Nothobranchius furzeri: one gene and its partner. The protein of the gene in region 1 purifies or fractionates together with the protein of each later gene. This does not show direct contact. Links are inferred from orthologs where the notes say so. Each region holds a gene or a part of one and is shown on either strand. Other genes may lie near its edges.

Region 1 (3,928 bases):
ACAGGAATGCATGCAAGGATGCTCTTGAGCGGAATTTCTGCCCTGCAGGACTTAAATAACAGAAACATTATTTAGACATGATCTAGGATTAAATATCAGGGTGGAGAAAAAATAAGATACCTTGTTATGTAAACATCCAATTTTCCTGCTGTCTTGCCTGTTCTTCTCTGCCTCACTTCTCTAATCCACCCATGGGGCATTGGGTCACACGGTTCCTCCTTGGGGCTTTTAACATCCATTCTGCCGCTGAGCTCCTTTTCACAGTATGATGCACTTAATATATAGTTGAGTCAATGATGAAATTTGGGTTGTAGAAGAGCCGCGTTTCTTGTCATCTTTGCCTTTAATTTGCAGCAGTAACACATACAGCAGATAAAAAAAAAACTCACCGTGTTATTTAGAAAGTATCACCAGCCACCATTGATATTAGTTTATTTAGCCAAATAGGAGTCTGTAGTGTGCATACTGCTTGTTTCCCGATGTAAACATTTGAGCGGAACTAGTTTTGCAGGCATGCAGGAAGTGGATCCGCTCCTTTTCTAGCGGGTTAGCGGGTTGGAAGTCCTGACGGGCGAAGATGATATACGTGCATTAGAAATATATATATAACAGGAATAAATACGCTTTCTGTTCATTGTGGGGGATGCGAGGAGATGAAGCTACTTCTGTCTTGTACTTCTGGGTTCTGCGTGGGGTGGGTTTTACAAACTCCGCCTACGCGGAGCAACTCTACGGTAGCCGGCAATTTAATGGTGCTGACCTACAAATCACCAGACATGCTGCATTTGTGTCCCAACGAAAATCGGACCTAGCGGCAAAACCTTTGCTACTCTTTAATCGGGCCAACACTACGAGCGAAGAACAACACATTTTTCTGCATTGGATGTCTTCTAACACTGTATGAATATGTTCACCAACAGGGCTTGTATGTTACTGCGTGCGACTAATTATTAATACGATGGAAGCCGATAAAATATCAAATAAGTTTATTTATTTAACATTTAATGTTATATTTAGCCTGGATTATTGAGTATTGAGGTCGTTACTTTTCAGAAGTCCCACATTTTGAACTGTATTTCTAAATTTCAATGTTTTTTTATATTTTGTTTGGTTGGTATTTGGTTATTTTTTCTACATGAATCCAAGAAATCCCGACCTCTGAGAAGATCTGGAACAAACCACGAGTTTGCGCAGTGTGACCAAATCCTTCCATTGAAGAAAAAAAAAGACGAGCTGTAATAGCTACTTGTTGATTCAAAAATATTTTGAACGATGTGCAATTATAGGTGAAGATGAGGGCGAATCACTCATGGACAGCTTCAGTTCGTGAACGGTAAGTGGTGGCAAGAGTATTATTATGTTATCCTTCAGATAAAGCTAGCTCATTAGCTGGGTAGCAACCTAGCAACGGTGGTTGCTATGTAAACTAGAGGAAGCCTGCTAACACTTAGCCCTCCAGCCATTCTTTTTTTTTATTTAAAAAAATATGTATTTTATCTCGCTGTATATTAGTTATAAAACATATTTTTTCTAATAATGTAACGCGACCTCTCGGGTCGGGTGAAACGTTACTGTTAAGTAAGCTAGCTTATGATGTTTCGACTCACTTGACCGCAGTTCTTCGATGCTACAACTAGTATATGAAACATTTTTACCGGATTATGCTGCCAGTGTTTATTTACAGAAAGCTTTGTGTTTGTGGAATATTAAAAAATCGTAAGATTATTGTTTTAATTGTTTTTGTTGTGTGGTCCTCCTAGCCACCAGCTTCGACTCTAACAGCGTCTAACTTGTTCTTTTATTATTTTTGATCAGTCTGATTCTGCTTGTGAATCTGCAAAAACTTTTTTGACCAAGGGGATTCAGTTCTATTGTTAAAAGACATGCAATCAATTTCAGCTGCTTTTCACTTTTCCGGGACACAATAATCCAAAAGCTGCATGCCTTTGCATCTGCCAACACCTTTTGTGCCTTTCTCAAATATAAGAAGTTATTTTGATTAATCAACAATGCTTTTACTCCACAGCCACGTTCTCAATTATAGCTACTTATGATCAAGCTGCTCTTTCTGACTGTTGTGATCTGTGTCATTTTTGTACACGTAAGCTTTATTTTGGACATGCACAGAGAAATATCGCTCTAAAGGACTTTAGAGGTCTGGACTAAAAAGTAACCTTTATCACAAAACTTTTGGGATTGATTTAGCCTCCATGCTATTGCTGATGGACTTATCAATGCATTTAAAAATGTTTTAACACAAATTTCTTTTCACAGTGTTTATGACCTTGCCTTCAAGCCAGATGGCAGTCAGATTATAATAGCTACAGGGCATCGTGTGCTGGTGAGGATGCTCTTTTATCTTTGCAGCAAAGGAGAGAATGGATCATTATTGTGAATGATCTTTTCTCTTTGCAGGTCTGTGATGCAGCAGATGGAGCCATTATCCAACCTTTAAAAGGACACAAAGACACAGTGTACTGTGTGGCTTATGCCAAGGATGGTACTTGAGTGTTTTTTGGCTTATTTGATCAAGTTTCTAGTATCACTTGTATTTTTTCCCTGTCACTAACGATAGTATTCTTCCCCAGGTAAAAGGTTTGCCTCGGGATCAGCTGACAAAAGCATCATCATCTGGACATCTAAACTTGAGGGTATTTTAAAATATACGTAAGTGTCATTCCTGTAATACAAAATAATCCCCATGATTTTTTTTAAATAATAGTGTGTTGGTATTATTTACTTTTCTAAGATCTCTATACCCACAAAATAAATGGTTTGAATACAGTAATATATTGAGAAGTTTTCTGAAAATAATTAAAAAATCTGTGATTTATGTATTAAATTGTGCTGTAACAGAAACAGTTTTCAGTGTCATCACTGACTAAACCCATGACTGATTTGAGAAAATACAAACAAATCGCAAATTCCACGCCAGCAACACACCTCAAACTACAGGTTGAAGGGAGACGAAGAGAGTGTTTTACAGAAGTTTTCTGGAAGAAGCTAGCATCCCATCTAACAACCAATTTATCATTACCAACAACCATCACTCAATGCTTTAGGTCAAACTCTATCAGAGGGTCATTGAGTTTTTTAGAAATAGCTCTCAATATGATTTTTCAAGAGCTGAGGGGTTTTTCTTTTAGCAATAACAGTGAATAATCTGGTGGAGAAATCTGAATGTAGAGGCCAAGGTTGGAAACTGCTGTCAGATGGACCAGTGAGCCCTAGGGAGTAAAACCGTTATCAGTATTTCCTCTGGAGGGTCACTTGGAAAAAGCATTGTTACTCAGATCATGATGCCCTTTACAGCCAGAAACACAATTAGTTATTTTATTCAGCAAGAAGAAGAAATATAATCATTCTGTTCAAAATCAGCACCCAATCCTCTGACGGCGTTCACATGTTCGACATCTGCTGATGAGGTTATTTTTCGGCTTGCTTGTTATAAGAAAAGGGACTGGGTTCTATGTGCCGAACAAGTAAAATAACCATTTAGTCTGTCATCAGGAAAAGGTGCAAAGCCCAAAGACTGTGATCATATGAGTGTGCTGTGTATTTCTGTAAAGGTGATACTGATGCAAAAGTAGAATTTCGTGCAGAAGACGTGCACCAGCAGCATCAGGGCAAAGTCTTACTGGGACTTCTGGTGTTATTTCACACCAACTCTCATTCTGCATGACTTACACCAGTGTGGCTTCTGAGGGGCGTGTGCCGGACTGTTCCGTTCTCTGCCTCCTATTAAAAATGTATGGCACATCCCGGAGAGGTGAATCAGATGTGATGACCACGGACTGTTGAGCAGCTGAGATCTTCTACTCTGCTAGACACGACACACATTTATCCTGCAAAACTGCAACAGTTGCAATGATCAACTATACCCAGCATTCACGTAATTAAAAGTAGAAGATTTTTTTAAATCAGTGTC
Region 2 (3,333 bases), on another chromosome or scaffold:
CCATTCCTCTGCAGTGTGCGCCGTATGGTGTCACGGGAAATGGTCACTACAGTTTGGCTTTCTACTAGCCTAGTGAACTAGACCAAATTCTTGCTTTGCAAATTTTGGTCTAGGCACGCTCCATTGGAACCTCTGCAGCTCCTACCAGGACTCTGGCTGGCCAATCACAGCTATCTAGAGGGGTTTCAAACACATAAAGAGCTGTGATTGGTCCATAATGGTGGGCCAATCATGGTGCTCTATCTGCTTAGTGAACAAATCACAGAGCTTTATCTTCTTTGTGGGCCAATCAGGGCACTCTATATGCCTGGTGGGTGGGATGATGCAACAGAGTGAAACAAGAGGATGTCACATTCTTTGTCCAGTGGAATGTGGAGATCATTTGAAAGACAACGGTAGAACCCGCCCCACAACCGAGAGCCGTCAATGGAGCGTGGCCAGACTAAATAATACATTTATTTAGTCTGGCTTGCCAGGCTAGCTTTCTACTGCTTTAGCTAATTCAGTGAACTTGTGCTGCGATTTTTCTTCAACCCTTCTAATCAGACGACACGCCTGTCTTTCTGAAGCGTTGACGTGAGACATTTACACAAAAATAAATTTTAACTTATGCTTAGATCCCTTTTAACTATTTAAATGGCCTGGCTTATTGAAAGATATTATAGGCTGTGCTGTTATTCCCCCAAAACAACACAACTCATGTTTAAAAGTCTCTTTTATTATATGAACTTCACCATGTATCAGATAAATAGTGCCAGTTACAAATAGAGATGATTATCAAAAATAGCTGCAAAATGTAGGACAGATTTGGACATTTTGACACAGAATCTTTTTAAATCAATTCAGTTAGAAACATTTAGTATAAAATGCATGAAAACCACAAAAAGACTGATTTAACTTGAAGGCAAAATCTGTTTATCAAGTTGAACCTTTTGGTGCAAAAGCTGCTCAAAAACTACAAATAAACTCATATTAATGCAACTTTCATCCATCCTGTACATAAGCCGCTTTCTTAATTATTATTATTTTGAAAATGTATTTCAAAATCATCTTTCTATTCAAAACTGGTTTGCAAATGAGCATGAGTTTTTTTCTGCTCAGCAAGTAAATCAGATTAAATTTAAATAAAACTGCAGTTTCATTCAGTGTGAAAATGCCTTTTTATATGAAAATGGTAAAGAATGACGCTAAGACTCATGCAGCTCCTCCTCTACCTCGTCGTCCTCGTTCTGATTTTTCCCGAGGTCGACTTTCGCAGGTATTCCCATCTCTTTTTGCAGGGCATTGAAGCTTGACTGGCTGATGTAATATCTGACATTTTGTGAGGGAAGAAGTTTCTGCAGCTCCTCCAACTTCCGGTAGGCCTGCAGAGAAAAACACAAAAACAAAACAAACTTATATTTTATATATTTTTAGAATTGTTTCAAACAAAAGAAACATGTTTTTAATTTGTTAAAGTTTACCAGATTTTCATAAGGAAACAGAAAAGAAATTAATCCAAAAATCTTTGCTGGAATTAGTAATCTGAGATTTTTATTTAATCTATTCAAATCACCCATCAGGGGCAATTTGCAAAGGTTAGATGGTGAAGATACTCGAAATAATTTATCTTAGTGAAATAAGGGCCCTAAATTATTGTAGTTTTATGTTTCTGATGCTATCTTATTTTTTAAATTGCTGAATATGTTAATTCTGAGTTAAATAAACTCATGCAAAAAGCTTTTTCTACAAAATCAGCTGAGTAAATGGATAGAAAAGAGTCACCGTTTGGAAATTCCTCTGCTGACAGTGGTGCTCTATAAGGAAACCAAAAGCATCTCCGATCCTGACAGCAGGGTCCAGTTCTGGTTCCTCCAGCAGAGCTTCACATAACAGAACCGCCTCGTCGGCATCCTTGGAGTACAAACTAAACAAAACAAATAAATACAGTAAATAAATGAATAAACCGAGAAGCCCAGACTGACATACCACCACAAAAACCCGTTTTTTCAGGAGAAAAAAAGATTTCTCAGTGGGGGAAAAAAAACCAGAATAAATATAACTTCATGTAAGAATGTGAATATAAACTATTTGGATTTTCTGACGTTTATTATTAAAAAACAACAAAAAACAAAGCAGCAACAAAAAGAGAAGTGAACTCTTGTGTTTTGACAAACTGAAAGGATTTAGGAGCATTAGCTTTATGAATCAACGACTAACACATAAAAATAAACCAGATAAAACATTTTTAACACGACGAGAATCCTGTATAAAATAGATAAACCCAGAATTCAATGTTAACTGGACTGTCAGCAGCAAAGGGGAGGAATGTTCTCAGCTGATTTAGTCATTTATGAAAAACAAAAACAATCAAATAATCAGGAAGCCAGTCTGAAGATGGTCTTTTAAACGAGAAAATAACATCAGCCTTGAAGAGTAAACATTCTGTTAGTTTTAATTCTACGCTTCTATTCAACAGCTTTTCCTTCAGTCGTGCAAAACGTGATCTCTTTTCCCTGTGGCCAGCGCTTTCTTGTCTAAATACATCAGAGTTGACATTTTTATTTTTCACACACCTGCGGATGTGGACAAACTTCTTGATGAGGCTGATCTTGTTATGAAGGTCCGCTAGTCTTACTTCTTGTTGTCCTCCTGAAGAGTCTTTAGCTTTGGACAAACACTTGAAGGCCTCCGTTAAAGCATTCAGAGCCTTTTCATAGTTTTGGTAATCGTCAATCTCCACCTGCACCACAGCGACAAAAATGTTTGCTTCTTCTTTTAAGACATGAAAAGAACATTAATCTTATATTAAGACATTAAAAACAGAATCTTGGCCTTATTGAATATTCAGATATTAACTGTTGGGATGGAATAAGACAAACAATGGTGTGAAAAGTCTTTTCAAAAACAAACAGTGTTGCTCAACCTGAGCACAGGCTTCGTAGAAGCCAGCGAGCAGCTCCGGTGCTTTGCCTCTGGTGTAGAAACCAATGATGGTCTTTAAGATCTCTGGGCTTTCACGCCAGTCCAGAGACTGGAGGTAGTTGGCAGCCATGATGAACAGCTCCTTCTGACGACAAACGTTGGCAAAGAAAATGATTTTCTCTGTGTCTCCTGACTTGAGGAGTGCTCTCATTGCCTGAAATAGAACATTATTATTTAAAAAGTGCATAAAAAGAAAATCCAAACACATTTGGACTAAAACAAAGTTAAATCCATGTTCCATCATCCCTTTTTTAAATAGGCAGAGAAGAAAAAATGGGAAAGACAACAGCTACTGTAAACATAAAAAAATATGGTAAAAGAGGGCATACAAACATTATTTTAATAAATCTGCTGTGGTCTCTAGAACGG

What was found.
Region 2: the proteins of ift122 (region 1) and ift140 purify together in Homo sapiens (affinity purification with mass spectrometry; 4 studies listed by BioGRID and IntAct, counting the BioPlex papers as one, with this or other methods). This does not show direct contact. The link is inferred for Nothobranchius furzeri from reciprocal best matches to the Homo sapiens genes IFT122 and IFT140.

What each region holds. Positions count from the first base shown.
Region 1 is NC_091755.1:54,390,825-54,394,752, forward strand, and holds the start of ift122 (intraflagellar transport protein 122 homolog), read left to right. Parts: upstream 1-1,188; 5' UTR 1,189-1,292; coding exon 1,293-1,333; intron 1,334-2,274; coding exon 2,275-2,341; intron 2,342-2,415; coding exon 2,416-2,500; intron 2,501-2,588; coding exon 2,589-2,667; intron 2,668-3,928. Other genes in the region: mbd4 (methyl-CpG-binding domain protein 4), read right to left, coding at 1-50, 121-239. UniProt on the Homo sapiens protein: As a component of the IFT complex A (IFT-A), a complex required for retrograde ciliary transport and entry into cilia of G protein-coupled receptors (GPCRs), it is required in ciliogenesis and ciliary protein trafficking.
Region 2 is NC_091756.1:32,324,685-32,328,017, forward strand, and holds the end of ift140 (intraflagellar transport protein 140 homolog), read right to left. Parts: intron 3,119-3,333; coding exon 2,906-3,118; intron 2,723-2,905; coding exon 2,556-2,722; intron 1,907-2,555; coding exon 1,765-1,906; intron 1,365-1,764; coding exon 1,188-1,364; 3' UTR 698-1,187; downstream 1-697. UniProt on the Homo sapiens protein: Component of the IFT complex A (IFT-A), a complex required for retrograde ciliary transport and entry into cilia of G protein-coupled receptors (GPCRs).